Linked DNA regions of Schizosaccharomyces pombe. Each later gene encodes a partner of the first gene's protein in a complex. Each region holds a gene or a part of one and is shown in the gene's direction. Other genes may lie near its edges. The genes, in order: arc1, arp3, arc5 and arc3.

What was found.
Region 2: arc1 (region 1) and arp3 share a complex: the UniProt entries of both Schizosaccharomyces pombe proteins name them as parts of the arp2/3 complex.
Region 3: the proteins of arc1 (region 1) and arc5 are in contact, whole or in part, in a crystal structure (PDB 3DWL), measured with the Schizosaccharomyces pombe proteins. Residues at the interface, in NP_595909.1 of Schizosaccharomyces pombe: Gly205 (codon at 4,642), Gly206 (codon at 4,645), His225 (codon at 4,702), Asp226 (codon at 4,705), Ser227 (codon at 4,708), Lys248 (codon at 4,771), Leu249 (codon at 4,774), Ser250 (codon at 4,777), Gln251 (codon at 4,780), Leu252 (codon at 4,783), Pro253 (codon at 4,786); in NP_593727.1 of Schizosaccharomyces pombe: Ser137 (codon at 4,814), Gly138 (codon at 4,817), Ile139 (codon at 4,820), Gly140 (codon at 4,823), Val143 (codon at 4,832), Arg144 (codon at 4,835), Asn147 (codon at 4,844).
Region 4: arc1 (region 1) and arc3 share a complex: the UniProt entries of both Schizosaccharomyces pombe proteins name them as parts of the arp2/3 complex.

The regions. Positions count from the first base shown.
Region 1 is NC_003423.3:2,210,456-2,218,469, forward strand, and holds arc1 (ARP2/3 actin-organizing complex WD repeat subunit Sop2), read left to right. Parts: upstream 1-3,942; 5' UTR 3,943-3,982; coding exon 3,983-4,055; exon of another isoform or gene 4,056-4,102; coding exon 4,103-5,163; 3' UTR 5,164-5,362; downstream 5,363-8,014. Other genes in the region: acetolactate synthase regulatory subunit Ilv6, read left to right, coding at 357-550, 631-1,141; meu17 (glucan-alpha-1,4-glucosidase), read right to left, coding at 1,565-2,917; cdc18 (MCM loader), read right to left, coding at 5,685-7,418. UniProt on the Schizosaccharomyces pombe protein: Functions as a component of the Arp2/3 complex which is involved in regulation of actin polymerization and together with an activating nucleation-promoting factor (NPF) mediates the formation of branched actin networks.
Region 2 is NC_003424.3:346,803-355,084, forward strand, and holds arp3 (ARP2/3 actin-organizing complex actin-related protein subunit Arp3), read left to right. Parts: upstream 1-3,630; 5' UTR 3,631-3,674; coding exon 3,675-3,709; exon of another isoform or gene 3,710-3,772; coding exon 3,773-3,796; exon of another isoform or gene 3,797-3,868; coding exon 3,869-4,397; exon of another isoform or gene 4,398-4,492; coding exon 4,493-5,092; exon of another isoform or gene 5,093-5,157; coding exon 5,158-5,253; 3' UTR 5,254-5,494; downstream 5,495-8,282. Other genes in the region: GATOR2-SEACAT complex ubiquitin-protein ligase E3 subunit Sea4, read left to right, coding at 393-3,110; SPOM_SPAC630.04C (uncharacterized protein), read right to left, coding at 5,625-6,125; GTPase-activating protein Gyp7, read left to right, coding at 7,098-8,282. UniProt on the Schizosaccharomyces pombe protein: Functions as ATP-binding component of the Arp2/3 complex which is involved in regulation of actin polymerization and together with an activating nucleation-promoting factor (NPF) mediates the formation of branched actin networks.
Region 3 is NC_003424.3:2,345,618-2,353,415, reverse strand, and holds arc5 (ARP2/3 actin-organizing complex subunit Arc5), read left to right. Parts: upstream 1-4,091; 5' UTR 4,092-4,145; coding exon 4,146-4,291; exon of another isoform or gene 4,292-4,335; coding exon 4,336-4,408; exon of another isoform or gene 4,409-4,448; intron 4,449-4,534; coding exon 4,535-4,711; intron 4,712-4,801; coding exon 4,802-4,864; 3' UTR 4,865-4,964; coding exon of another isoform or gene 4,965-4,991; 3' UTR 4,992-5,093; downstream 5,094-7,798. Other genes in the region: ilv3 (dihydroxy-acid dehydratase), read left to right, coding at 249-2,045; mediator complex subunit Med20, read right to left, coding at 2,397-2,875, 2,945-3,033, 3,076-3,089; CENP-W family protein Wip1, read right to left, coding at 4,965-4,991, 5,094-5,207, 5,328-5,408; negative cofactor 2 complex subunit Bur6, read left to right, coding at 6,385-6,984; urh2 (uridine ribohydrolase), read right to left, coding at 7,609-7,798.
Region 4 is NC_003423.3:3,108,918-3,116,717, reverse strand, and holds arc3 (ARP2/3 actin-organizing complex subunit Arc21), read left to right. Parts: upstream 1-4,480; 5' UTR 4,481-4,513; coding exon 4,514-4,519; exon of another isoform or gene 4,520-4,565; coding exon 4,566-4,665; exon of another isoform or gene 4,666-4,745; coding exon 4,746-5,021; exon of another isoform or gene 5,022-5,117; coding exon 5,118-5,260; 3' UTR 5,261-5,518; downstream 5,519-7,800. Other genes in the region: pdk1 (serine/threonine protein kinase Ppk21/Pdk1), read left to right, coding at 332-535, 639-875, 930-1,039, 1,103-1,273, 1,324-2,257; SPOM_SPBC1778.09 (GTPase-activating protein), read right to left, coding at 2,750-3,994; SPOM_SPBC1778.07 (carnosine N-methyltransferase), read right to left, coding at 5,519-6,138, 6,256-6,757. UniProt on the Schizosaccharomyces pombe protein: Functions as a component of the Arp2/3 complex which is involved in regulation of actin polymerization and together with an activating nucleation-promoting factor (NPF) mediates the formation of branched actin networks.

The DNA.
Region 1 (8,014 bases):
ATGTGATAATATCATGTTATTAAGGAATTTAAATTTGAATAGGAGATAAAGATTAATATGATTTTTTGTAATTTTTTTGGGCATCTTTGTGGATTTTCTTTGGAGATACGTTTTAATGAATGTGATGCTGAGTTAAGTAGCTTATGAGCTGCTGCTTAAACACTCGTTCATGATTATTCGATCATTAGTCTTTACTGTCTGGATTCCTTCTTAGCAAATTGTTTCCATTCTTATTTACACTGATTATTTCGTTGCTGATCGTGGTATGATCTGTATTCTGTTTATCCGCTACCTTCAAAATCGGGTCCTTTTAACTTTGGTCACAATCATATGAAACCTTGACTAACGGTTATTAGATTATAATGTCAACCCCCTTCAACCGTGTGCAAAGACCCAAACGCCATGTCTTCAATTGCTTAGTACAGAATGAGCCTGGTGTTTTATCCCGTCTTTCTGGTATTTTGGCCGCTCGTGGATTTAACATTGATTCCTTGGTTGTTTGCGCAACTGAGGTAGAGAATCTTTCTAGGATGACGATTGTTCTTCGAGGGTATGTAAAGTAATTGATCCAATTATAATTGTCACTGACCTTTTTTACTTTCCTTCTAATTTTTATTAACATTTTTTTAGAGCTGATGAAGTCGTTGAGCAGGCAAAACGTCAGATTGAAGATATCGTATCTGTTTGGGCAGTCTTGGATTACACCGGTACCAGCATGGTCGAGCGTGAGCTTCTTCTTGCAAAAGTTTCGCTTTTGGGCCCTGATCACTTCCAAGAGCATTTTGAGAGAAGTGAGAAAGTTGCCGAGTCTACCAATGCTAAAGCTAAAAGTGATGGTGAGGGTGTCATGAATGCGAATGCTGCTTTACAACTTCGTGCCAGTCAATTGGCTGCTATCAATCAACTTACTACTCTCTTTCATGGTCGTGTAGCTGATATTTCTACGGAGACTATTATTCTTGAGTTGACTGCTACTCCTGATCGTGTTGATAACTTTCTTTCTTTGTTGCGTCCCTATGGTGTCTTGGAAGCATGCCGTACTGGTACATCTGCGATGACTCGCGCACCCCATTCTAACGAAGTTACTGAAGAAGCTGAGGACGATGTTGAAGTTGAAGAGGTTTTCCTTCCTCCTGGATAAACCAAAAAAAAATCGCATTCTTCGCTTCTACTTTGATGCTTTAAGCATTTTTTCCCATTGTACAAATATATTCACTTTGTGTTTTGTACATCCAAAGAGCGGTTGTACTTTTTGCGTAAAAATTTTAGTTATTTTTTTGAGATTTTTGTATAGGAATCTACGAATATACATCGAAATTTATTTGGTTAGATGAAATTTGTTGCTATGTTGTCTTTATTTAAACAGCTGTAGGTAACATATAAACGATAACATTGTTTTGCATTACTTTTTATTATTAAAAAAGACTATGATTTCATCCTTTTTATAAAAGTCATTAGCTTGTTGAATAGCTTGATTTCAGTGTAATTACACTGTTGGCATGGATGGTATTTTAAGGTGTTAAGATAGCTGGCTAACTTAACACCGTTGGATTTCGTAAATATTTTAGACAGAGCCTTTGATTGCCTCTCTTCTGTAGATGGCATTTAATAAGGATGAATAACTCCATGTCAAATCTCTTGCACCTTTTTGGTGACCATCGTCACGCGAAAATTGTTCAGACATTGAACCATTTGGATGTTGGAACTCAGCAACAGCTTTTAAAAAGTTATCAGCATATGTGTGCATGTTTTTCCTGATAACGGACCAGTTGTATGGATCTCCAAACTCAGCAAATTTCATAAAGAAATGGATGTTATATTCAGTCAATTCTGGTAAACCTTTATTATCGTAGTATGCGATTGCTTTGTAGATAATCTCGGCAGCGCTGCTTGTGCAAATGAACCAAGGGTTACCAATAGACTTAGAGACACCATCGTATACATCCTCGGGATAGCGTCCCATTGCTTGCTTCCATCCCTGATTGACGGGATAATCTCTGGTCATGGTTTCTTGCAACTTCAACAAGGTTGGAAGGATGTGCATATCAAACTCATTTGAGTAAAGGCTTGCAAGCAAAGTGGAGCAATCAAGTCCTGAGCGATCGACTCTGCCTTTATAACCCTTAATAACACCCATTCCAGGATCCCAGAACTCTCCCAGTTTTAGATCAATAGGCTCGATCGTGCGTTGGTAGAGTGCGGCTTGGTCAGGTGCTCCAATTCTCTTTGCAAAAGCTGTACCATCTTGCATGGCACGCTTCTGAACGGCTAGAGTAAAGTAATGAACGTCCTTAATTTCTTCCCAAAGATCAAAGCTTGCCTCTGTCCAGTGATTTGCAGTATAATCCAAGTCGGCTAATACAGCCTCAATCCAGACAGTAACTTCATGGACCTCTTTACCATTTTCAAATAAATAATTCATGTATTTGATAAATGCAATAGCCCGAAGAGCAGGGGAATCATTCTGGGGACGTCCCCAATCTCCGTCATAGCTTGTCCCATCAACATTAAATTTAGGCTCACCAAGACCTCCGGCGTAAAAGTCTCCACTTGGGTTCGGGACCTTTTGGAGCCTGACCATTTCATCCATATATTTGACGATAATCGGCTCAAGTCCTTTGTCCCCTTCAAAGAAACGATCTAAAATAGTCATGATCGTCAATGCACTATCACGAACCCATTGATAATAGTAATCAGGGGAATCAGTTGAAGGGGAAGCAATAATACATCCAGGATTAATATCCTTAGCATGCATACCGCTGTCACCGATATTGTTCAGCATATGTCCCATAGCAATACCCTTTTGCTGATCCGTCCATTCATCCATAGAAGCTTCCTTGCTTCTTTTATTAGGGGAAAGTAAGCTTTCTGCAGATACGACCCCCCCAAGGAGTAAGAATAACCAGTATGTACGCATGTTGGAATTTAAAAGTATTGTAAAATTGGGTAGACTATACAAATATTGATGGCAATCGTGTTTAATTATATAGGCAAACGAATAAAAATATGCGCTTTAGTTAAAATTTAACTGGAATATTTGCTCTATATATGTCTTTTGCTTTGTTTATTAGTAAACAAAAACAGAGGGAATTACCATCAAAATCGATCATCATGCTGCGACACGAATGGACAAAACTAGACTATATAAGTTAGTAAATAAACAGAGTAAATGAATGTGATTGATCCTTTTTGGCTTATACTGAAAATTTGGCGAAGCAAGGATTACCAAAGAAAATGTATTTATTGTTTGTTTATTTTCAACACTTGCTTATAAAGTTTGATTCTATAGTATTCAGATCTATGATAATATGGAAGTGTGCATTCACCAATTACTTAAATAGCGACAAAATTTGTTGAATTGGAAAAAATCGACAGCACAGCTTTTAATATCAAATACGCTACTGAGTCTGAGTATAAGCAACAAGTGTGATCTTTTTAAATAATCATCGTTAAAAAGCACAAAATATAACTGTGATAATGGACAAGATGTCGCTGTCAAATTCTGAAGCAACGTTTCAGTTACTCCAGCAATCATTAAAACACATCTCTTTGTTGTAAAGGAGAATTATTGTATTATGCTCTTCGCCCTATTATTTATTCATTAATAAGAAAAATACTCAGAGAGCATCGTTCACTCACGATTGTCAAGACATTAAGATCTATTGTTCTTCCACAATCAACGCAAATAGAAATCTTGTATCCACCTCATATTTTAAAAATAAAAAATCTCTAAAAGATATGCAAGAAAATCAAATTTTATTTAATGGAATTTTTTTTAGTCTTAATTGAGTTGTAATATTTACAAACCTTTAAAATGTAAACAAAGGAGTTACCGATACCATCGATATGCGTTATCGTATATAAAGTACTCTAACGTTTTTTGTTAATGTATCTACTGCTCTCGTCATCACCAATATCGATTCAGCCTTGGATATCGTCTATCATCCGCAAAACAGTAGACTGCTAGTCCTGTTACTGAAAAATGGCTACCTCTCAAGTTTTACACATTCTTCCTAAACCCTCTTACGAACACGCGTTCAATAGTCAAAGAACAGGTACAGTATAGGACCTAAATAAGTAGATTTTAACAAATTTGATATAGAGTTTGTCACCACAACTGCTACGAACCAAGTTGAACTTTACGAGCAAGATGGAAATGGGTGGAAGCATGCCCGAACATTTAGCGATCACGATAAGATTGTAACTTGTGTCGATTGGGCTCCGAAATCCAATCGAATCGTAACTTGCTCTCAAGACCGTAATGCCTATGTTTATGAGAAACGTCCTGATGGGACTTGGAAGCAGACCCTCGTCTTACTTCGTTTGAATCGTGCCGCTACGTTTGTTCGTTGGTCGCCTAACGAGGACAAGTTTGCTGTTGGTAGTGGTGCTCGTGTCATTTCTGTTTGCTACTTTGAACAAGAAAATGACTGGTGGGTCAGCAAACATCTGAAACGTCCGCTTCGTAGTACCATTTTGTCTTTGGACTGGCATCCTAATAACGTTTTATTAGCTGCCGGCTGTGCAGACCGTAAGGCATACGTTTTATCTGCTTATGTTCGTGATGTCGATGCCAAACCAGAAGCCAGCGTTTGGGGTTCACGTTTACCTTTCAACACTGTTTGCGCTGAATACCCATCTGGTGGTTGGGTTCACGCCGTTGGATTTTCACCTTCGGGTAATGCCTTAGCGTATGCTGGCCATGATTCTTCTGTTACGATTGCATATCCCAGTGCTCCCGAGCAACCCCCACGAGCTCTAATTACTGTCAAATTATCTCAATTGCCTTTGCGTTCTCTTCTTTGGGCGAATGAGAGTGCCATTGTGGCTGCTGGCTATAACTATTCTCCTATTCTTTTGCAAGGCAATGAGTCCGGTTGGGCCCATACTCGCGATTTGGATGCCGGAACTTCCAAGACCTCATTCACTCACACAGGAAATACTGGTGAAGGTAGAGAGGAAGAGGGTCCTGTTTCATTTACTGCTCTTCGTAGCACATTCCGTAACATGGATTTGAAGGGCTCCAGCCAGTCTATTTCGTCTTTACCAACCGTTCATCAAAATATGATTGCAACCCTTCGACCTTACGCTGGGACTCCTGGCAATATTACTGCGTTTACCTCCAGCGGTACCGACGGACGTGTTGTTTTGTGGACTCTTTAGAAAAGATATCGGCAAATGAATCTTATCAAATCAATTATCGAATTTCCGTAGATGTTAATCTCATAGAATAAAAGAATTGAACAAGCTTTAGCTAGATATAGTAACTGTTATTCCGCAGCTTATATGATTACTATGTCGTCTTATAAATTTTTGTCAATCATATTCAGTTTTGTGTATATATTTTTTCTTAGAGACCCCAAAATTGAGAAGTGCTTTTGCTACGTAAGTTTACTTATACCACCACTTGAGACTGAACCACGGGTATGCGTTCTTACGAATAATCATTAGATATAACTTAGATTAAAGTGTTTATTAATTGTATAGTTAGTAAAATTAGTAAAGATCAACCTGAAAAGTTTAAACACCAAGTTGGATAAATAATATTGTTCAAATTTATGTAATCCAAACAACGAAATTGAAAGGATGTTCTAATTTGATCCTTTCGGCAAAATTTGAAAACCGTAACGCGTGAAATAAAAATATAATGAATAGAAAAAAAGAATGAGAAAGAAATGATAGTACTATCTTCTGTCAAAAAATCGTTTTAAGGTACCAATGTCTCCAACAGCTGTAATGACATCCATTTCTGGAACAAGCAAACTAATGATTCGGTCCTGAGGCTTTCCGTTACGCTGCTTCGTGCGCAAACGAATGATTGCAAGAGTTTCTAAAGAATTCGCGACATCGCAAAATTCCGAACTTGTTAATGGATAAATCAAACGATCTCGAAGACACAAAGAACTGTATTTTTCAAATACATCGGCAACACTCAATGAGGTTTTTTCACAAACAACAAGCGTACAAAGGATGGCTTTCTGTTGAAGACCAAGGTTTTTTAAACGAGCACTAGCAGATTGGCTCATAGCAGATGTCGCTCGGACAACATGAGCAATTGATGCTCTTGGTATATCAACAGAAGATAATGTGTTGTCATGTTGAGCTTTCCATTCTCTTTCCGCAAGTTCAATTGCATGCCTACATATGTCTAATGCTTTTCTCAAGTCACCACTTGAAGCTGCAACTTTCCGGGCACATAATTCAATTGCAGCAGGATGTATAAAAGGTGTTTCATCAGCATGCTGAGATACAACATTTATACTATCATCGCTTACTTCAGAGATTGATTTAATAGGAGTAAAAGGATTGTTTTTTTCTGATGTGGTAGCGGCGGTTTTCAAACGCGCTTTTATAATTGTTGAGATTTCTTGAGCAGTATAAGGCGTAAAAGAGAGTAATTTGGGAGTAATATGCTTTGTTCGTAAACGAGGGAGAAATCGATCTGTCATGTCTAAGGCATTTGCAATGCCTACCAAAATTAATCTCGAAGTCGGTCGAGAGGGCCATTCAAAAAGCGTGTACAGAACCTGCTGTTCGCGAGCAATCAAGTGATCCATTTCATCTAAAACAATAATGACTGGGTTATATAATTCATTGGCGGACTGGGTGAAATGCGACTCTAGTTCACATTGGAAATTGATGTGATGATCTTCATTTTCTAAAATTTCCTCTTTAACAATTTTAGAGTGAATTTTTTCAAAAATTGCTTTTGGTTCATTAATAGTCATACAATTAATGTAACAAACATTAACTTTGGGATAATCGCTCACTACATGATCCAGCACGTTGTGAAGCAGAACGGTCTTTCCTGTGCCAGGGGCACCACTTACGTACAATGCACCTCCAGCATTAGCATCAAGATGTTGACGAAAGAAAGATTCCACAATTGACTTCTCATTTTCACGACCCACGACTCCTGCTGAACGATATGATTTACGTAAACTCAATTTGGCAGTAGAATTATAGGACGGAGTGGAGGGTGTCGAAGGAGTGGGAGGAAAAAGTTGACGGTGAGGTGTCGATTGCAAAAGGCGAGTAGCAAATGGAACAGGATTACATGTACGATTTAATGATTTGGGTGTAACAATTTGAATGGTCCTTTTGGGGGTTTTAGGAGTTTGAGGTGTTGTGGGTAATTTAGGTTTCTTATTCTCCTTTAACTGAGCAGGAAAATTAGGATAAAGGTCAGTTTTCTCCTCTTGCAGTTCTCCTAGTTCATATTTTATTCTTTTTGTGGGTGTTTGGAAATGTGAGCTAGCCAGCGTACGTTTTCTGCTGGGTGTAGTCGGAATCTCTATTGAAAAGGAAGGTGAATGCTCCCTTTGATTAGTTTTGTTAGTACAGTCAATCAAGGCTGCAGAATCTATAAAACGATTGCATCTTCGAGGTGTATGACAACCTATTGGAGTTTCACACATATCGATACTTTATAGTAACCCCGTTTACTAATTATGTTATTTACCAATAGACAAGTCAGGTAAATTTGATAAAAGGGCTACTAAGTAATATTAACTTCGTGCTTGGTGTTTAAGTTTTGTTTAAGAGCAGATATGTCTTTTATAAATATACGCGACGCGACACGTAAACGCGAAATCTAATTAATCACGAAGAGTAAATGAGATGTCGCGTTCAACTCTACGTGTCGTGTCGCGTTCTACGCGCGAACCTTTTTACTCTATAAGTTTATATTCAGGTAATGATATTATTTTATAACGACTCATCCTCAAAGATATGAAATGCCTTCTCATATTCCAATTTAGTTACGACGTTAGTAAAATTAAAGTAAAAGACCCTAAATTCTTTTAATAAATTAGAAAATCTTTTTTCAATTATCCCTAAAGATAACAGAGGTCCCACGAACGAATTTTTGATGGACCATACCATCTTTGGTGCTAATGGCCAATAAAGCAAACAGCATTTCGATTAAAGAAAAGTAAACCTCTTACAATGTTCACTAAAATTGAATTTCATAGCAAAGTTTCCTCTAGTTTAGAATGCAAGTGAACACTTTAAG
Region 2 (8,282 bases), on another chromosome or scaffold:
TATTCAAGGTAGATTTATATGTTGTACTTGTGGAGTGATTTAAAAGCTTAGACTTTCAACAGTACATCAAAGAATCGCTTGTTCGACACCGAAGTCACCCTAGAGATTAAAAAGTATGCAAAAGATAGTTAATCTAGCAACCGGTCTGTATTTTAATACTACTATTGTTAAGAGAATCATCAATAGCAAAAAGAAAACCTTTGAATTTGACAGCCTCTTTTCAGTCCGTTGTTAAGGCATTTCTGTTAGCTATCGTTAAGCAAATTAGTGCTAAACGTTATGTTTGACGAGTGGTTGAGATTGAAGAACGCTTCGATCAAGCTCTGTTTAATGTTTATGCAGTATTTTGGGCGTTTCTGGTAAAGCCTAATTGTCAAATTTCTCTTTAGAGAATGTTAAATAGAAGTAAAAAGAGGAATGGCTGTTATTTTTGGGTTAACGGCTCCTCAGATGAGATTCGATATGTCGCCGTCAAAGCTTCCCCTAAAGTAAATTGGAAAACTCACATTATTTGGAGATCATTGAAAAATGTTAAATGTATAGACTCTTTTCACGGAAACAATGAAATATTGGGTGCTGGTTCTTCTACCGGAAATATATCATTGCTTTCTGTTAAGCATCCAGAATTTCAAGCAGTAGTAACACCTGGATATGCTCGCCCTTGCAATAGTTTGGCATTTTCTGAAACTGAACATCTTGTTGCTGGATTTGCAAAATCTCGAAACGAGTCTTCCTTGAAGTTATGGGACTTGAATTCATTACTGTCTGACCCGAAGAGTAGTCCCTTAATGCAGTCTTCTACTCTAGACGGAGTTTCTTCCGTTTGTTATAAGAAAGACACTCCTCTTTTGCTTACCGGATCAACTTCGCGTTCTGTCCATATAATTGATACTAGGCAGCAACTAGACTCAGTTTCTTCCGTCAATACGCAATATTATAGTAATATAGTTGTTGATCCATTTTCTCCTAACTATTTTGCCGCAAATTCTTATGATGGTGACATTGCGATTTTTGATACTCGATACTTCAAATCCGATAATTATTTACAAATTATTTTACGGAACGAAAATAAAAAGCCCAAAAATCCACAATTATTTGCACTGAAATATTCTGAATGGAAACCTGGACAATTGGCTGTTTTGTCAAACAATTCGATTACACTTCGTCAATTATTGCCTTGTGTCAATGGAAATGAAGGATCCGCAAATAATTCTGTCTTTGTAAATTATGAGAAGAAATATCCTGTTAAACCAAATTCACAATGTTCTGGCATTGATTTTTTTACTCCTTCTACAGCCTTTCCAACTCATGTTCAAATTTTGGGTGTCATAAACGAACAACCGAAACTTTTTTCTGTCCATGATGAGGTCATTCCCTTTTCATTTAACCCTTATAATGATTTGATATTTTCCTTCAAAGAAAAACTGTATCCTTTAAACTCTTCACCATTTAACACACTTTCTGATGTCCCACAATTTGATGTCAGCGAATTTGTCGATGAAAACTCTTTCGATTCCTCGTCTTCTTGTTCCTCCAAAGTCTTTCTAACGACAAGAAACAACTCAATCAATTCAGAGGATTCCGCTCATGAAGTATTGCTTTCCTATAACCGCGTCCTTGGATCTGATATTCAAGGGACAATACTAGATCGCGTCAAAAAGGGCTACCAATTTGATTCCCAAAAAAACTCAGAATTAGTTTCTGATTTATACTTAAAAGATCTATGGTCTTGGATTCACTTAAGCCATAGACAATCAGAAGAATCACTGTTTGGAGACACAGGAGATACAGATTTCAGCTATCAAGGTGCACTAGGTATTTGGTTTATGGATACTGAATTGACTAGCATGTCCGATGTTTTTGAAGCAAAAGAAAGCAAATTTTTAGAAAAAAAAATTTTAAGACTTGCTAGAGATGTTATTGAGAGACTTGATTTAGATATATTTACGTCTATCCAAACTAAAAGGCCTTTACGCCAACTCGCTTTACTTGCCTGTGGATTAGGAATGTCAAATGATGACTTGTTGTTGGAAATTAGAAGACTGATTCGCAAGAATGAGCATGTAAAAGCCGCTGGGTTAGCACTTTTCCACGGAAAAATTGAAAACGTAGTCCGTATATTATCAAGTGGGAATGAGCTGGAGAAGACCATATCCACAGCAGTTGCCGGATACATTACATCGCAAGGCTTAAGTAACTTTGGAAGTGACTCATTGTGGAAAGAAATGTCTCGTAACTTAAGTACAGAATTGGAAGATCCATACTTACGTGCAATATTTGCGTATGTTTCCAACTCCGATTGGAGAGATGTATTAGATGAAGTTTCTCTCTCATTAAAAGATCGTCTTGGAATTGCTCTTCGCTTTTTACCAGATGACGATTTGAGTAATTATTTGTGCGATTTATGTCACACTACAGTGCAATCAGGCGACCCAGAAGGCCTGTTACTTACAGGTTTAACTCCTTTGGGAATGGAACTTCTGCAGAACTACATTGATCATACAAGCGATGTTCAAACTGCTGCATTGATTGCTGCATTTGTGGTACCTAAGAAATTTCTGGATAAACGTGCAGAGGATTGGACTGAAAGTTATAGAGAGCTTCTAAACCGCTGGAAACTTTACCGTGAGCGTGCAAAGTTTGATATCTTTCGGACAGAACTCTCAAAAAATCACACAGGAGAAATAACCAGAAAGGCTACAGAGCCATCTATACGCATTATCTGCAATTTTTGTAGAAAACCAATTTTTCCTTTCTCCAATAGGAATGAATGTAATAATTTACCAACGCCAATTCAACGAGGTGTCAGTAAAGCAGGCCCAGCAAAACACTTGGGAAAAAGTTGTCCTCATTGCGGACAGCCTCTTCCAAAGTGCTCTGTATGTGGGTTTTCTTTAGGAGATGAAGATGTTCCTCAGAAAGATGACTTTTCTCAAAAACCTCAAAACTATGTCAAAGAAGTTAATCTTCAGAAATCTAGATTTGGGTTATGGTTTAGCTTTTGTCTAAATTGTGGCCATGGAGCTCACGCATCTCATGCTTCAGAATGGTTTTCAACTCATACAATATGTCCGGTTCCTAACTGTGATTGTGAATGCAAACTGAAATAGAAATTGCAAATGAGAGCATTAATTAATAGCATTAAAATAACAGTTTATGGTTTGGTTCACAAGTAATAATTGCTACATGAGTGAATATAAAATCCATGATTACAGCTTAAAAATGTTTAAGGCTAAGAGGTTTAAAGCATAAGGTCTTTAATACTATGATTTGTTTAAAAATTCGACATAGCTATCTACATTTGTAATTGTTTGATAATACCAACGTGGTTAGTTTTATTACTGAAAAGGGATTAACGCAAGATCGTTAATATTTAATTTTCTAGTAGCAAGAAGCGTCTTCTAGCTTAGCAACTTGGTAATTTTAACCGGTGGTACTGGTATTGAAGAAATACATATTTAATTTTTTGTGTAAATTAATTTGGCCTTAGTAAAGATATCCAAAGTGGGTTGTATACGGGCATTCGCATTTAACGTAATCGGCTCATCTCGTAAATTACCATATGTTTCCCGTTAACCCACGTAATTCGACATCGGTGACCGTTGCGAGACGATATTAAGAGTTTCAACTGGAACCAACTTCTCTTTCGCTTACCTTTTCATAAAATAATAGCAATGGCTTCGTTTAATGTTCCCATTATAATGGACAAGTAAGTATTGATGTAGCGAAGTTAAATTGTTCGTGAATATCAGTTACTAACTTTATTTGTTAGCGGTACCGGCTATAGCAAGCTTGGGTATGTGTAATAGTCGTTTTAGGATGTTATTATCTCTCTTTTGAGCATTTATTAACAGTAATTTAATTTCAGCTATGCTGGGAACGATGCTCCTTCTTATGTATTCCCCACTGTTATTGCGACGCGTTCTGCGGGTGCTTCTTCAGGGCCGGCTGTTTCATCAAAGCCTTCTTACATGGCCTCGAAAGGCAGTGGGCATCTCTCAAGCAAAAGGGCAACTGAGGACTTGGACTTTTTTATTGGAAACGATGCATTGAAAAAGGCGTCTGCTGGATATTCTTTGGACTATCCTATCCGTCATGGACAAATAGAAAATTGGGACCATATGGAGCGTTTTTGGCAACAGTCTCTCTTTAAATATTTACGTTGTGAACCAGAGGACCATTATTTTCTTTTGACCGAACCTCCTTTGAATCCACCTGAAAACCGTGAAAATACTGCAGAGATTATGTTTGAGTCGTTCAACTGTGCAGGACTCTACATTGCTGTTCAAGCGGTTTTGGCTCTTGCCGCCTCTTGGACATCTTCAAAAGTTACTGATCGTTCGTTGACCGGTACTGTTGTTGACTCTGGTGATGGCGTTACTCATATTATTCCTGTTGTATGTATAAAAAATCTAATACGAGCTTAGATAAACAGTTTTGAACATTAAATGCATATATATATGCCCGAATTTTACTAACTGATAAACCTTAGGCCGAAGGATATGTTATCGGCTCTTCCATTAAGACAATGCCACTTGCTGGTCGTGATGTTACGTACTTTGTTCAATCCTTATTACGTGACCGCAATGAACCTGATTCAAGTCTCAAAACTGCTGAAAGAATTAAAGAGGAATGTTGCTACGTTTGTCCGGACATTGTTAAGGAGTTTAGTAGATTTGATCGTGAGCCCGACCGTTATTTAAAATATGCATCTGAATCAATTACTGGACACTCTACTACTATTGATGTAGGATTTGAACGCTTCCTCGCACCTGAAATATTTTTTAATCCTGAGATTGCTTCTTCCGATTTTTTGACCCCTCTTCCGGAACTTGTGGACAACGTCGTACAGAGCTCACCCATTGACGTTCGTAAAGGCCTTTATAAAAACATTGTCCTTTCTGGTGGTAGTACTTTGTTTAAGAACTTTGGCAACCGCTTACAAAGAGATCTCAAGCGGATTGTTGACGAGCGTATTCACCGCAGTGAAATGCTCTCCGGTGCTAAAAGTGGTGGTGTAGACGTTAATGTTATCTCCCATAAACGTCAACGAAATGCGGTTTGGTTTGGCGGCAGTTTACTAGCACAAACGGTATGTCATTATCTTATGTTTGTATATTTTTTAGTTTACCCGTAGAGATTTACTGACATGTTTAGCCTGAATTCGGATCCTATTGCCATACCAAAGCAGATTACGAAGAATATGGTGCTTCCATTGCTCGTAGGTACCAAATTTTTGGAAATTCTCTTTAATGAAATATATCATGAGTTTTGCGTCTATAGGATTTACTGATTAAAATGAAAAGTTTAATGGAGCAGGCATTAGCCTTAGAAGAAATAGACTTGAGGTTTGCTATGTTTCCAGGCTTTTTCATTGAGCAATATCAAATAAGATGTATATAATTAACTTGTCCAAATAATAATGATGAGAACCATGAGAATAATAATATAGTGATTACTAATAACGTAAAAGGAGAAAAAAAAAGAAAACGGATGAAACCGATGGGTTCCGCCTGATAAATACTTTATTATTCAAGAACGATGGATAAAATGGAAAGTGTACAAGTACTCAACGAATTTGTTGAGAGAAAGCAGAAGCAATCAAGTAGTCATCATAAAAAAAACTAAACTTCATCATTTTGCGGAGCAGGTAATGATTCATAAGAAGGTGGGCGTTCAATTGCACCGGCAACAGATGGAACGTCGCCGACAAATTCACCATTTTCATCAAATATTGCGGGCGGGGGAGGTGTGCTTGTGGTGGGTAAAGTTTTCAAGTACTGCTGGTTAAGAGCAGTAATAGGTTCATAAAGAGGGAGGCAATCAGTCTGTCGAACATGATGTTCGAATTGTTGTGATGCTCCGGAAGAAGAGCGCTCTCTCCTGTGAATTGAGTGTTGTGTTCTCTGCTGTTCCCGTGCAGAAATTATGGTTCGACACGCTTTAATTCTTTCATGATGCAACATAAATATGACAAACACAACGCAGATTATCCCAAACGTTAATACCAACACTTTTCCCCAGAACTGGGAGTAAGGGTCATACGGGATATCTGAAGCATCTGATGTTGAAACCAATTGATCATTAGCCATCACAAGGTCTATGGCTGATATTTCTTCCCCCATTTTTGTTTGATTATAATTTTGAACGTGTAGTGTTCCCAGTAGAATTTCAATTGCCACGGCTCAATTAAGACTGAACGTCAGAAATTTACAACAATCCAGTGAACTCACTGATATAGCAAGGCAATTATTATTCTTCCAATTTAATTTTACTCAATTACTTTGAGGTTTGTAAAAGTGAGGTTAAAACTGTTGTAAAAAACAAAGATAAGCCATAAAGCTTCCCGTCTCCTTCCCCAGAGTCTGGATTTTTTTGCGATATTTACGGTACGATACGGCAGTCACCGGAAGCATCCAAAAGCTGACCATGTATAATTATATGCTTTGATTTCAGATCATCCGTGCGCCTATGTATTAACTGTGTTGTATAAATTTATTTCACAATCGGCAAATTAGTTATGAATTAATTACTTTTGGTATTTCTGCTCTTGGTTATGCAGCGTAAGTGAATTTGACGATCTCCGTTTAAATAATGAGCTACTACGAGGTGATCGTTAAATTGTAAACAAAAGATTGGTTTAGTATGTCGCTTGAATGGAAACTGCAAAGTTTTTAATTAGAGATTCATCTGTTTCATCTAAATCTAAAGCAATTAATTTTTCATCTCTTCAGTTGTTCTTTTTAATAGAGTAGTTGAGGTGGATAAATGTTTATTCAAATTTTTGTTATTCGGATTATTTCGTACAGGAGAAGCTATCACAAAGGTCAAAGCCATAATATATTTAATAATTTATTGTAAAGAGAAAAATAATTATCAGAAAATTCAACATATTCAATTTAAGGTCAAGCACACTGGTGTCCGCTAATGCGTTTACTATACTAAGCCCTCTGCTTGCTTACGTGCATCGCCACTACCTAGCTATAGGTGCTTGTTGCAAGACAACAAAGTCTCGTACCTTTGCAGCGTTAAACGATTTTTAGCAATTTCCTCTTTCTTTAAAATTTGGAATTAACTGATTGTTTTCTATTCCTGTAATGACAACGCTGGAATCTCTGGATATGCCAGAGATGACAGAGGTCGAAGATGATACAGTCGACATACACATCGACAATTCGAAGGTCGCTCTCCTTTTCTCTAAAAGCAAGGTGTTTGTTCATCCCACATCGAAAATGAAGGATAACATATCTGGCTATTTGTCCTTGTCTAAGTCAAAGGCGCTAGGAAATTCATCAGTGGCCGGAAGCGATATTTTGTTATCATGGGTTCCTGATTCGTTTTTAAAAAATCGTCCCAGGGATCTTTCCGTATTTCAAAATGCGGAAACCCTTTCAAACGGTTCTATTAGAGAATGGGTAGAGATTCCTCAGCATTTGGACTACTCTTTTTCTGTACGATTGTGCAGCATTTATTCAATTATATTTCGACCTCCTAGATATGGATGGAATTATGGTAGTATAGTGATTAATTTGAGAGACAGTGGTGAGAGCCTCCCTCCTCTTTTTTTTCATGATGATGAATGTATTAGTACTATTGAGTATGGCAAGCAAATTACCAGAGATCGTTTTGATCCCTTCGATGAATCAGGAAATATGTTCTGGGGTGGAACGCATTTGTTGATGCAATTAAAGAAATACGCTTCTCTTGAACAGTCCTCACATGAATCACAACTGTACCTTGTTAATCCTTCTCCTGAGGATACTGTGGCATTTCAATCAGTTGAACTTCAAAAAGTCATTTCTAATAATCGACTTAACTCCAGTTCTACCCCTCCTACGCCTAGGAGCTCATCATCTATCTTTAATCCTTTTCGCCGTGCCCTTCATGATTTGTCATTCACTGTGCTTGAGCGGTTTAGTCGGGTCACTAACTACGGCAAATCAGAAGTTGACAGACTCATGGAGCATAAAGTTACCAAGTCTATATTGCCACACCTTCCACGTGAGCTTCAAGTGCTTCTTGAGTCAAAGAGAGTTCAAAAATTAACTGAAGAATATGATCCAGCCCGAATGTTTTTGGCTCGTTGGGCTGAGGGTATTGTAGAGCAATCTGAGAGTAACAATTCTCAACCTGTCAATAATGCGGGTGTTTGGACTGATGCACAGCGTGAAGAAGATTCGTCGCTGGGTCCATTTGAACTAGTGTACATAGAAGAGAGGGTGAAGCGTGATGATCCATTGTCTGTTGAGCAATGGAATTCAATGTTTAATGCTCATGGGAAA
Region 3 (7,798 bases), on another chromosome or scaffold:
AACCGTGTTTTATATTTCGCATCTCCGGTTTAGCATACTTTACCAGGACCACTAACCAAGGGTGAATAAGTTAAGTCACCAGCAGATATTCCATTTAAATCTAACACCAAGTTTGTTATAAGTTTGTTCTTTCATATTTTCCTTTGTTTATTATTATTTATAAAAGGGGAATTTGAAGAAATCCTGGAGTTGACCCTTAGTAGAAAATTTTCTATAGTCTAAACAAAGCGAAATTTTTTTTTTAGAAGATGATGTTCTGCAAGCTTCTCCGTTGTCAAAACGGTATTGCTAGCAAAAGAGCTGCATTAAGCCTAAAAGGCTTTAAAACCTCTTCGATCAATTTAGTCGAGAAGAAATTGAACAAGTATAGTGAAACAATCACTGGTCCGAAGTCTCAGGGTGCTTCCCAAGCTATGTTATATGCTACTGGACTTAATGAGGAGGACATGAAAAAACCCCAAGTCGGCATTGCTAGTTGTTGGTATGAAGGAAATCCTTGCAATATGCATTTACTTGATCTCGGTCGACGAGTGAAAGAAGGTGTCAAAAAGGCTGGATTGACCGGATTCCAGTTTAATACTATTGGTGTTAGTGATGGTATTTCTATGGGTACTACTGGTATGCGTTATAGTTTGCAATCTCGTGAGATTATTGCAGACTCCATTGAGACCGTCATGCAAGGTCAATGGTATGATGCCAACGTCTCTATTCCTGGCTGTGACAAAAACATGCCTGGTTGTTTAATCGCTATGGGAAGATTCAACCGCCCTAGTATTATGGTTTACGGCGGTAGTATTCGTGCTGGTCACTCTCCTTGTCAGAACAATGCACCCATCGATATTGTTTCTGCTTTTCAATCCTATGGTGAATTTATCACAGGAAAAATTGATGAGCCAACCCGTCATGACATTATTCGTCATGCATGTCCTGGAGGTGGTGCTTGTGGTGGTATGTATACTGCAAATACAATGGCTAGCTGTGCCGAAGCTATGGGTATGACATTACCCGGTTCTTCTTCTTACCTTGCTGGCTCACCTGAGAAGTTTGCAGAATGCGAAGCTGCAGGTAGTGCTATAAAGCGACTTTTGGTTGACGACATTAAACCTCGCGACATCATGACACGTTCTGCTTTTGAAAATGCTATGGTCTTGACGATGACTCTTGGTGGCTCTACCAACTCTGTTCTTCATTTGATCGCAATTGCTAAGTCTGTTGGTATCACTTTAACTTTGGATGATTTCCAAGCCGTCAGTAACCGTACACCGTTTATTGCCGATATGAAGCCTAGCGGGAAGTACGTTATGGAAGATTTGTTCGCTATCGGAGGTATTCCTTCAGTACTTAAATATCTCCATGCTGAAGGTCTCATCGATGGTTCTAATATTACCGTTACTGGTAAAACTCTCGCTGAGAACCTACGAGGATTCAAGGACCTTGCCGAAGGTCAAAAGATCATTAGACCTTTGAGCAACCCCATCAAGACCGAGGGTCATTTACGTGTCCTCCGTGGTTCTTTAGCCCCTGAAGGTTCTGTCGCAAAGATTACTGGCAAAGAGGGCTTGAACTTCACCGGCAAAGCTCGTGTTTTTGATGCCGAAAACGATTTTATTGCTGCCTTAGAGCGTGGTGAGTTCAAGAAGGGCGAGAAGACTGTCGTCATTATTCGTTTTGAGGGACCAAAAGGTGGACCTGGTATGCCGGAAATGTTAAAGCCTTCAAGTGCTATTATGGGAGCTGGTCTTGGAAAGGATGTTGCACTTTTGACTGACGGTCGTTTCAGTGGTGGCTCTCACGGATTTTTGATTGGACACGTTGATCCCGAAGCACAAGTTGGAGGCCCTATTGCTCTTGTTCAGGACGGCGATGTCATTGAAATCAATGCTGTAAAGAACACTTTAGATTTGATGGTTGATGAGAAGGAGATGGCGAGACGCCGCAGTGTTTGGAAGGCACCTCCTTTGAAGTACCAACAAGGAACCCTTTTAAAATATGCTCGCAACGTTAGCACTGCCTCCAAGGGTGCTGTTACAGATTCCTTAGAGTAAAGCATATTCAATGCTTTTATAAGCGCGCATAGTATTTTGGAAACTTAGACGTTTAATGTTTTGGTAGTAAAGGTTGATTAATAAGCTTTTAATGCTGATTCCATAATCTCATCTAGAGTTTATTTGAATAATTTTGAATGAATAATTACTTTTTGGAGTACAGTGAAATGCATCGAGTTTAAAATGGGTTGTTATTCAAACTCCTGCATTTCTATTTTATTATTAAACATAATTGGTATCTGTAAATGTGAAAGGGAGCCATAACTTTCTGCTGACAATAAAGCAAGACTTTGACAGTTAGTTAGATAGAAATTTATTTACAGAAAAAATTTAAATTGATACTTTTTTATTCTATGTGCGTTGTGAAACGGTATCAATGCGTTGTTTAAACAACTGTAGTAGAAGTTTTGAATCCAAAGAATGACGAGGCTGGTTAAAGAAGCTTTCATAGACAGGGGTTACCGATTTATTATTTTGTAAAAAGCATTTAAGAAAGAATTCTTGAATAATAGGGCGTGCGAGATCGACGGACTCAGTACCATCGTAAGTTACATGAAAAAGTATACCCTTCCAAACGGACTTTTGTAAAACGTTGGCAATAGCCACTTTAAAGCTCCCTACTTCATATATTGAACCTTCAATAGTAAAGGACTGCCGAAAATTCCATAATTTCGTTCGCACAATGATGTCCTCAAGTTCAGGTTCTGCATCAATCATTGTCGCTTCATCCACACACGCCAGCATGCTGGGATTAATGTTTTGCTTCAAAAATTCTAAAGTTTTTGGAGTGACAGCATTTCTGTAAAGTTTATACTGAACTACCCATTTTTCTGAAATTCAAAGTTAGATCTTGAAATCATCAATCATAAGAAATAAAATCCAAACCAGTGTCAGCTTACTTAAATGTTGTGCAAAGTAGGTCCTAACCAGATTATCCTGTGCTGGAGAAAGGAACGTCGCCATTGAAGGCGATGAATAATAAATAACTCTATAATCAATCAGCAAAATAGTCAATCGGTATGCTTTTTACCCGTGAACAGGCATATTTTATAACAAAGATGAATGGTAATTAATTATGCATCTGAATATCGGTTTATACCGAATTATTGAGAAAAATGGCCGAATTAGTTCTTTTACTTCTACTGTAATGTTGATGTGAAGAGTTTAATGCGTACGGCGGTTGCAAGAATTGCTAACAGGCTAATTTAAAACCTTCATTTTCATTGTTCCTGTATTAAAAAAAAAAAGCAGATAGACATAATATGAGCTCAAATTTTATTAATTTATCTCTTGTCATTTTTATTATTTTCCAAGTCGCAAAGTATATGGCTTTTGGGTATGATAATCCCAGAGCAAATTGTTAAAAGCTTGAAGAGAATTAAGTTAACTGAATTACATTCATAATTAACTTCTGGAGAGTCAAATACTACGTAACAATGTAACTGGCTGGTTTGAGCACTAATTAAAAATCTGTTAATCCCAGGATGTTACATATGTGTCTCTTCGTTTTACTTTGAACTTTACACAAGAAACTACATAGTTCTGTCAGCAAAATAAGTCTTAAAAGTTATTGTTCGAATAGAAGTATAAACTCATACATCAATATACATACTGAAAATAGATAGAAGCAAAAAAAAAATTACTTTTAATCTTTATTCAACTAATTACTAGGCTGTATCTAACATATTTTCTTCTGAATCACCATAGGCAGAAATGTAAAATATGTAACCAATTTCTGTCTACAAGTTATTCAGAACTTTACATCTAAGACCAAAGGTAGAGATGATTATTTACAAATAAAAAAAAATAAACATCCACAAAAGAGGTCTATGGAGTACTGAAGAAGTTAGTAATGCTGTTACCAGACTTATATAGCTCCGCTCAAAAATTATAAGTTAAAGTTATAAGATTAAAAAAATATAAATATATTTTTTTGAATTTTCTTAACTTATTGGTTAAATTAATATACTCTATGAATTATAATAACTTCAGTTACAGACTTGCGTTCGACCGTTGTATGATGCCTCTTTAGAGCTACACACAGCTGAAACTTAACCTGTTCCATCGTTTTCTTTACCTTACCAGTTATAGAGTTATAAAATGACGTTTCGGACTTTGGATGTCGACTCCATCACAGAACCTGTTTTAACAGAGCAAGATATATTTCCAATTCGTAACGAAACGGCGGAGCAAGTCCAAGCAGCCGTCTCTCAACTCATTCCTCAAGCCCGGTCTGCCATTCAAACGTATGTTTATTTAAAAGAAGCAATTTTTTTATTAATTAAAATAGAGGAAATGCCTTACAAGGTTTGAAAACCTTACTCTCATATGTTCCTTATGGAAATGATGTTCAAGAAGTTAGGGTATGTGCAAACTGTACAAACTGCTTAAAGACGGTTTATATCAATTACGTTTTTATTTATTGATTAAATTTACAATTCTTCTTGATTTCATTTTATTATGGTGTAAATGAATTTTAACTTTTTTAGACTCAATATTTGAATGCTTTTGTTGATGTATTAAGCAATATACGAGCTGCTGACATTCCCGCATTTGTAAAAGAATGTTCAACGGAGGAAATTGATAATATTGTAAACTTCATTTATCGTGGATTGGCGAATCCTCAAGCCTACAACTCGTCTGTATTACTTAATTGGCACGAAAAGGTAACTTTTAGTTTATTGCTTTTCCCAACGCTCTAGCATTGCTTATCTCATGCTTTACATTTTTATTCGGTCACTAATACGGTTTTGTAGGTGGTGGAAATATCCGGTATAGGATGTATAGTTCGTGTTCTCAATAGTAGACCCGATCTATAAATATGGCTTTATCTTACTTTTTGGTATCTACTATTCTGTCGCTTATGGAACTGAATCAATGATTCTGTTTTATGTCTTCTTTCCCACATAATGACTCTTTTTATCCTTTAAATTGAGCTAGAATTTTCTAAATGGTTAGTAAGTATGTTCCATTTTAAAAAATAAAGTGCAATCGATTTACGCCTTTGCTGAAAAGATAATAAATCTAGTTTATTCAATATTAGCTTACTCTTTGAATACTTCGAACATGTTCTGGCTGTACTCTTCTTTCCCCAGTCTTAGCCGCTTCAATATTGGCTTCTTTTAGTAAGGATTGTAAGAAAAGACAGTAATCCAAATATACCTTGAAAATTCTGTTAGTTGAAAACATTCAATATAAAAAATTTGAATATCTTTATTAGAATAGCGCGTCCAAAAAGATACTGACTGAGAAATAGCTAGTTTCATTTATAACTTTCCATACCAAATCCAATGCGGAACTTTCAAGGCTGCGCTGGCAATGCTGACGAAAAAATCGTCTTATGCGTGCTTTAGGATAGCTCATAGTAAGTAGTTTCTTGCAAAAAAAAATATTAATCCCGTTTAGTTTTGTAAAATTAGAGAGTAATCATATCTTGCAAGGATAGCTCTGTATAGAAAGTGATAATCGTTGTGTCGTCTTCGAAGAAGGTAAAGTGCGAGTCCTTTTGAGTCATTAGTTCGAAGGATTCTACAAAGGTGCTATTGCAAATCAATTTTTTATAAATTTAATGTCATATTATTAATTGAAATTTTCTTAGTAAAAGTAATTATTACGTACAAAGATTAAAGCACTGACATTGCAAATTATGTGTCTTTGTTGTCAAAACAAGTTGGAATATTATATCAATTAGCAGCAATCTTAAGCATGAAAGCTTTTAAATACTTTGAGTTCATTTGTAAGCATGTATTTACTCGCTACTACTTTAAGAAAAGAAAAACTTTTTACTAGTATTTAAAAATTTGGTTGCTGGTTTGTTTTGCTTGCTCTGATTACACACGTATATCTGAATCTGTTATTTTATTCTTATTTAAACTGTGATTGTATGCATATTATGAACCTCTAAATTGCCTTCATTTGGAATATTGAGCAAAATACTTGGCAAGTATGGCGACTAAAAGAAAACCAAATTAATATTTACCGAGTTTCTTTGCTATATTTCCTGGAAGTTAGTCGCTTGTGATTCCGAATTATTGCTTTCCGCGACCTACATAAAATTCTGCTTTTAAACGAGTCCTTCACCACTACCTTGTTATAAAGAATACTAAGATCCGCTGTTAGGCACTAGAAGATTTTTACTTTAACTTCTCAAATTCGACAAATTAGAAAAAAAATTTTTTTAAAAACTTGACAGACAGTCTCAATAGAGGTAGTAATATACGTTTTCGTTACTACCTTACTTACCAGCTCCTTCAAGCGATTCATTTCCGAAACAATCATTTACACGCCAACTTACTATTGACTTTAATATCGAATTATCTTGTTAATTCTGCTTCTTATAATGGGTGATCCAACAAATAATAATGATAGTGAAACTAAACCAAATCCTGCTACGTACTGGAAAAGCAGATTTCCTGTTGCTCGTATAAAAAAGATTATGCAAGCAGACCAGGACGTTGGAAAGGTCGCTCAAGTTACTCCGGTTATTATGTCGAAAGCGTTGGAATTGTTCATGCAGAGTATAATTCAAGAATCGTGCAAACAGACGCGATTGCACCAAGCAAAGCGTGTTACCGTTTCTCATTTAAAGCATGCTGTTCAAAGTGTTGAACAGTTTGATTTTCTTCAAGACATTGTTGAAAAAGTACCGGATGCTCCGCCCATTAAAGCCGAAAGAAAGACAAAACGCCCCCGTGCTCGTCGAGCAGCTAATGAAGGTGAGCATAATGAAAGTGTTCCCGCTAAAAAAGTTAAAAAGAATACTGTTAAAGAAGAGGAAATTGAAAAAGATGACGAATCAGCTACCACAGAAACTCCTGTCAAAGAAGAACCTACTGGTGAGGAAACTGAAGCAGATCACGAGGAGAAAGCCTCTGTTGATCATGGTAATTTTTCTGACAAGACAACTAGTGAAGCCTCTTCCGCGTCTGGTGATGAGTAGCTACTTTCTCCACCCTATATGACCATAAATATAATGTCTTTGTATACTTTATTCTTGTTTTGCTATTACATTTATTCTTATCTTCCCTTTTTTCTTGAATTTGTTTTCAGAAAATATTCTCAAGCTACTTGTACATAGGACTATAAAATTGGCACATTAATTCTAGTATTTTTAAGCCTTTTCTTCGACTTAAGAATATAATACGTTCTGGTTGTTCATATTGAGCTTTTTTAAAGTGCCTTATTAATGTACTATGAAAGACCAACTTGGCGTCTACTGATTTTATTTGCCAAAATGATGCTATTGACAATTCTACGAACCTATCACTTACTCGTACACCCTTTTGTTTATAATTAAGCATTTATTTATACATACTTTGTTGTTAGTATTTAAATTCAAATAATGATATTTTTATAGTCTAAGATTTTATAAAACTATATGCAATGCAAAAGTATAAACGTACTTCTTTGAGTAAAAAAGAAAGTATTTGGTTTTGTATTTCCAATGGATGATATAAGAGGGCATGATGAATGCTTGAAGTGCTTTCAAAATTGAAAATGAAGGGAGAACTTGATCGTTGTAAAAAATAAACATAAAACACTAGTCGATAATGTCATAAATATACTACAAATAATTGAGCCTGTCTATAACTCCAATAAACGTCTCCCAAAATAATGAAACATCAGCTTCCAAAACAACATGAACATTAGCCGGATACTGATTTTGTTGCGACCATACATCACAGACAGTGCGACCAAGAGTGAGAGAATCTAAGCTTACAGTCACATACATAGAACGCGAGGTCCACAGAGAT
Region 4 (7,800 bases), 900 kb from region 1:
ACCATCTTCAGGTCATATCGAAGTATCATTAATGCGATGTAAGACTTTGATGGGTATGATAAGGCTATCAAGCTGCTTAATGAGCATTTTTTCTTTGACAATTCGACCTTTAATTTATTGTTTACATGGCATATTCTACGTTTTAAATTTATGTAATAATGACGAGGATTGGAGAAATAGGGTACTCTACTTAGTGTTTACATCCTTCACAGAACACAACTCCAAGGCCAGCAACTCCACAATTAAATGCACGGTGTTTCAGTTGGAATCGAACAGCAAACGTAAAGTAACTCAAACACAACTTCATTTTTCATGAAAACCTCTTTTATAAATGATGGATCTGGAGCATAAACGCATTAGCCGAAGTACATTGCCGGATTATGCGGATCCCGATTACTTCGAGGCTAGAGGTGAAAGAAATCCGGTAAAACCTCAGTCTTCCAACGTAGTACCAGGAACAAGTCATATAGGATCGATCAAATCTCCGGCGGATTACGTTTTTGGTGACATTATAGGAGATGGATCATTCTCAAAGGTAAGTTGATACATTGCTTCTCAGTTCAGAAGTTTTTCAACCGCAGGTCGATTAACCTATGGACCTTCGATTACTGACGAATAAGTTGTCTAATATTCGTTAGGTGAGAAGAGCAACTGATAAAAAGAGTTGGAAGGAGTACGCTATCAAAGTCCTTGATAAAAAATATATTGTCAAGGAAAATAAGGTTAAGTATGTGAATATAGAGAGAGATTCTATGATGAGACTTAATGGGTTTCCTGGTATCTCTCGTCTTTTCCATACATTTCAGGATGATTTAAAACTTTATTATGTGCTTGAACTTGCACCCAATGGTGAACTTTTGCAATACATCAAAAAGGTATATTTTTTCATTAGTCTATTCATTTTTCCTTTATTAACTAAGCTTTGGTAGTATCGTTTTCTTGATGAGAATTGTGTGCGCTTTTATGCTGCTGAGATTTTATCAAGTATCGAGTATATGCACTCCTGCGGTATAATTCACAGAGATCTCAAGCCAGAAAAGTATGTTTGAGTAGTGGTCATTAAATGTTCGTTTCCTTTTCCTAATTCTAACCTATTTTTTAGCATTTTATTTGATGGAAATATGCATGTAAAAATTACCGATTTCGGCACAGCCAAAATCCTACCCCCTAAATATGTAAATAGCCCTGATTACACTACCTTTCCAAGCTCCTTTGTTGGCACTGCGGAATATGTTGCTCCTGAACTATTGTCTAGACAAGTTGTTTCAAAATCGTAAGAAAACCTATTATCCCAGTCTATTTTTTTTCTGACAAATATTTAAGTTCCGATTTATGGGCTTTTGCGTGTGTTGTTTATCAAATGATTGTTGGTTCCCCTCCTTTTCATGGCAGCAATCCTAATAATATTTTCAAAAAGATAATGAGCCTGGAATATGAGCTTCCAAAGCTCTTACCACCTGATATCGTTCCTTTGTTTAGCCATCTTTTCCGTATTCAGCCATCTGATCGATCTACAACCCAACAAATAAAACAATTTCCTTTTTTTGCTACTATTACTTGGGACAATTTATGGACTCAAGATCCTCCTCCTATGCAGTCATTCCGGCCTAATTATAACATAGCCATTCCTAATGCTCCTGCTTATTATCGCTCAAATGTGACAGCCGCAGCTGCTGCTAATGCTGCCGCGGCATTTGCTTCTGCATCCATTGTAAAGCATCAGGAAACTGCTCGACGTCAGGAGCTTCCTACGGTAAATCGTTTCACTGCTCCAACTGCTCATTATGGCTATGCTTCACTTCGAAGCCATCAGATGCCTGTTGACAGACTTTATTACAAGTTGGTTCCATCGTCTGAGTCGATCATTGAATCTACCTCGGTCTTCGTATCACCCATTCCAAGTGTACCTGAGGGTAATAAGTTTCCATCTGGACTCTCAAAAATGTTTTTGAAAAGAAAGCAAAGGGTTATGCTATTAACTGATGTTGGTCGATGCGCTTTTGTTTGTAAAGGAAAACATGAGAGACTTTTTATCGAGATGGAGGTGAACTTGAAGGATTCCAGTGTTGTAGTGATTTTTGATGAAAATAGTTCCAAGCGATTCTTGATTGAAGATAAGGTCCAGTCCTGGATAATAGAAGACAGTTCCGGGGATGTCACCAAGTATAAAGACAAAATCCTTAAGTTTGCTGATGTTGCGTCTTCTCATCAATCTCGTTCTTCAGAAGAGAATGTAGAAGAGAACGAGGAAGAGTAACCCCATACCTTGTTTTATTTGATTTTTCAACCCATTTACTACCTTCTTTATATTTTATTATTTGTCGTCAGTGTTTTGGTAATATTTAACTATTTAAGCTATACATAATTAGAAATTACGACGCACCTAGGAAGTCGCAAGATGGAGAGGTATTATGTATACATATATATGTATAGTATTTATAATATATATACTTGAATTAATTTTATGTTAAAATTCCATTTCTTTTGGTGAGATGTTAAAATTATAATATTAGTAAGAAGAGAGAGTTAGATAGGATCGATTTAAAGCGCATACTCTTGATACCAATAAAAGTTTTGTGGTATCAAGGAAATAATGTTTATCAACGTTCCAAATTAAAACAGAAAAAGAAAATGATAAATGTTCAGGACCCATTATGCTAAGCTCTGTGATATCAATCCTCATCTTGTTGACATATGTTACATCATGTGGGCCACAATTAATAAAGCTATTAAAAAAGAGTTAGAAATATCAGTTTCTCTTACTTTTAGAAGAATTTTCAGAAGGCATTTTTTCCCAAAATAATTGAATTCTAGCAAGCAGGGCGTTATCGTTTTGAATGGGAATAACACCTGACAGAGCTTGCATTACTACTTCAAAGTCTGCATCAATTAGCGTGTCCCACATTCCTTGTATAACCGCAAGAGAAGTGGCTTGCAATAACCTGACAGTTTGACCTTTGCTTCCACCTAATAAAAACAGGAGATCCCATATACGTAATTGAGTATGGAAGGGCACGCATTGATGAAAAACAGTGAGATACCAACGTGTAGCAAAAGCAGATGGTTCTGCTCCAATTTCCGCCAGATGTCTGCCTGATTGTGTAAAACTTAACTCATGCTTAAGCATGTCAAAAGCCTTTAAAAGTGTATCAAACCCGGAAGAAAACAAGTCCCCCATGCCTCTATTTTCCAATAAATTTACCATCATTATAAATGCTTGTTCTTCGGGATAGTAAATGAGCAAGGTCGCAGCAATAGAAGCCATTCCTTGAACGTATCCAACACGAGGTATATAGAGAGCTACAGCATGAAGAACTCTAAATAGTAAACGTTGCCCTCCAATGTAGCGTTTTCGGAATAAGAAATGTGTAGCAGCTGTTCTGGGAACATCTAGGTCAATTTGAACATCATAGTCACAAATCTGCTCGTTCAATTGGTAATACTTGTCAATCAGTTTTTTATCAGGAAGAGAATCCACAAGAAAGGACCACCACGCAATAGATCGCCAACAATCTGGAATCCCCTTAAATGTACGTAAAATTAACTTACGAGTTTTTCGAAAAGAATGGAGCTGATTACCGGAAACGAGGTGTATTGAACACATCGATTTCCATTTTTGAATACGGGAAAGCTCTTTAGCTGATATTTCGTTGCGGTCATGCGACTCGCCGGGAACAACCATGAAGATGCTTTCATCAACGTACTTCAGCATGTCATCATGGCCGATTAATTTATTGCCAAGACGTTTGGCAGGGTTTGGTTTATCTAATGTTGGGTCTTTACTAACTTTATAGAACCCTAAATTATTAACATTAAAGTCTGAGCGATAGTTTCCGTAACGATCCACATTTTCCAATGACTCTTTTGTATCGATTTCTTGAACTTTTCCATTAATAGGTTCTGGTATATTTAAATTATTCTTGTCTTCTTGTAACCTGTACAACGACCGAATTCGTTGCAAATTGGTTGTTCTAGTTGGGGAAGGGTTTTCCATGCTCTTTCAGATATATCCTCAATTCCGTCACTCTGGAGAAAACAGATTACCTACTAAACTGTATTAAAATATCCAACACAGAAAGATTTAACAGGGGGGAATTGTTTCCGATGTAGTAATGTTTACGGTCCCAAAAGACCGTCTATCCCCATATAAGTCAGTACGTTAGATCCCAAAATCAAAATAACCAAACATGAAAATCTTTTTTTGACGTTTTTATAATTTTTCAAGCAATAAATGCATTCGTGCAAATGCTTATGAATTTGGTTCTCGCTACAAATTTATTGGCTCTATGTCATTTCCATTGATGAAAACTAGTTATAAAGTAGAGACCGAGACCCGATCACAAAACAAAAAAACGACACGCTATATTGCTTTACTGTAATTACATAGCTTTTCGCTATTTTGTTTAAAGAAAAGCTAATTTATCACTATTGATGCTTGACGAAATGCTCCCTATCGGCACATTCAGCAGGTGCTCAAGTTATCCAACAACATCATAAGCACTAGACATTAGATATGCCGGTATGTTCTAAAGTTTTGAATTTTTGTTGCTGACATGTTATGAAAGGCCTATCATTCCTCCTTCTTAAGTCTTACGGACGTCCCTACCACGGGAAACATAGCAATGCTGCCGTTGAAAACCAAGTTTCGTGGACCGGCTTATCCTGGTATGTTCCAGATATTTGTCAACTCTGTTTAAAGACTATTCTTAATGTTATTAGAGTACTTTCTAACATTTTTTATACAGCTGATGAGAGTCAAATGGATATTATTGATGAATGCATTGGGCTGTTTCGCGCCAATTGTTTCTTCCGCAATTTTGAGATTAAGGGACCAGCAGACCGTACTTTAATTTATGGAACATTATTTATCAGTGAGTGCTTGGGAAGAGTTAATGGACTCAATTATCGTGATGCTGAACGTCAACTTAATAGTTTAGCGTTGGAGAATTTTTCTATTCCTGGCTCTGCTGGCTTTCCCTTGAATGCATTATATGCTCCTCCCCTTTCTCCTCAAGATGCTGGTAAGATTCACCCAAACTGTGGCATTAGACATATAGATGTTTGTGCCGCTAATAGCTTTCTTGCTTTTTTTTTCATTTGCTAACTATTAAAAAAAGAAATAATGCGTACATATCTTACTCAATTTCGTCAGGAACTTGCTTATCGTCTTTTGTCCCATGTATATGCAACTGAAAAGGATCATCCCAGCAAGTGGTGGACTTGCTTCAGCAAGAGACGTTTTATGAACAAAGCTTTGTGAGTCTATTAATTAATAATTTGGCTCATACTGTATTTCAAAGCCTTTATGTTTTTCCGTTTCCTTTATTTCAAATGCGGCTTATAAAGTTTTTGAAGCGTACGAATGGCTTATTTAATGTAGGCAGTTTTATACGTAGATAGTAGATGCAAAAATAATCGCTTTACTTTCATGTACAAGTTATCAATTAGCTTTGTTAATTATGCTAAAGGAATATTTGAATGATTAAAGTCGTAATATTCAATGTTGGTTCAAAAATTTTTATTGAAATCGTAATTTTGATTTTTGCAAACGGCAGACCCAATAATGAGGATGGTATATCCATTCAAGCATACTTCGTTTGTCCCCCATATAAGTCGTGTCGACCGAATTGTGCTTTAAAACCTCAAATCCCATACTATCCATCACGTAAAACAGCTGCTCGAGAGTCAATTCAACGAAAGGTTGTTGCTGGCTATCACTGTTAGAATTAGAAGTACCTTCTGACTCAAAATGATACAATAAAGGCCCGAGATTTATCCAATAACCTCCATCTACCAAACAGTTTTTAATTGTATCCAAATAGTCCAGTATGTTTTTTGTAGTGTCTATAAAGAAGCAGGTAGCTACTACTTGAAACGAATCACGACTTTCTTCGGTGCCGTATACCTCCAGGAAATCCCCGGCTGCCATTGAAAAGTTTTGTGAATTCCGCAGATATTGAGAGGGAACTGCATCAGGAATATTTAATGAACGCACCTGGTCATCACGCATGACATGGTTCGAAAATGAATGAATATAAGGATACACAAGAAACTGATTTTCCTGCTTTACGCAATTCAGTATGAAATGCGACGTTAAAAGCATAAAATATGAGAACTCATTTCCTTGGCATGCAAAGCCTATTAAATGTTAGAAGCTATGTCCAAAAATCCAAATTTAGAAAGAAGTTAGAAAACATGTAATCAGATAAATAATAAATCATGCTATTTTTGATTGATAGTATCAAGTGTACCTACCTTCCACAGCTATATCAAAGGCCAATCTTCCTAAGCCGGAACCTGGAACAAGTACACGAATTTTAGATCTGTCTATAGAATCAGATGGGAAAAGTGAATTTAGTTCCTCGATGAAAGGAGCATATGTAGTACGGCGTTCCTCAACACATTCGGTCGACCAATCTCTCGCAATTTGCTTGAGAGTGCTTGAAACTTTTTGCATCATATCAACATTGACATGAAATAACTCATTTTGATCGAAATCACTGCAGAACACAGGAATGGCTGCGTTAGCGATTGCTTCAGCAAGCACGCTGTTCTGCTCGATACATTGATCAATCCTTGAAAGATGCTTTAAAAAATTGTTGTCAGAGTCCTGTAAGAGTAAGTCCTTGTGTTCAAAAGACAACCTGCTCATCGATTTTCTCTTCTGTTGTGTTATTGTATGAGCATATTGCCTGTACAAAAAGAACGCGCTTAAAACTTCTTTCAAAACTTTTACTTCTTCCTCATCATATTCCATAGTTTTTTTTGATGTTTCTGAGCTCTATCTAGACTTTAATATTTTTATCATCTAAGTCGCAATTTTGGCGTTGTGGAGAAGTTAAACCTCTAACTTGTTGCTTCATTGAAGTTGGAAGTGTTGAAGAAACCAATAAGTTAAGAATATTATGGTTAATATAATTATGTTTTATGTATTTCATTAGCTTTTCAAGTTATGTTTATATCTACTGTGTTTGATTGCAATATTGAATCATCTCTGCTGAAAATCCCTGCAACGCGGTGCCTCTATGAAAATAGTGTTTGCCTTTTGCAAAAATCCCATAGGTTTTATTTGGATAGTTGTCAGACAATATTTTACAACAGCAGCCGCAAAGGAAATTCACCATGCTTCAACAATACCGGAACAGCTAATCTTCTGAAGCATCGTTATAGTAGTATTGTGAGTTTTGTAGATTATAAGAAAATAATATAAGAGAATCTTGGTGCACGCAGTAATATCATACAATATTTATATTGCAGCTTATAAACGAGACTGGAAATACACGTGAAAAGGTAGTCAGGTTAAAAGTTTAACCCTGTGACATCTGGCTAATCTTTTATCCTATTGCGCAGTTAAAAGCGGGAATTACTTCTTTTTCTTATATTGTATCAAAAATTGTTGGCTTCAGTGACCTAAACCCTTGAACAAAAGAAAAAAAACACGAATTTTCACGGCCGGAAAAACTTTCTGCAACGTTTTACAAAGGATCTACTATCATAGTAAGTAGAAATTTTGGCTTCTTGACATATAGTACTAAGTAATTTTCAAGTCGATGCATCAGTTGACTTCAATTGAAAGAGCTTGCTAGTTTGTGATGTTTATGGCATTTGAATTCGGTAATATCGCTAATTTGATATGGACTTACGTTTAGCTTTTTATTCTGTAAAAAAAATTAAAATTCAATGTAGTTGATATCCCAGCTATATATTCAATCTAAAGCTACAACGCAAGACATCGTCAAGTAGTAAATTACTTTTTACAATTGCAAATTAACTTTTAACAGATTGGCTAAGCAAACGTGT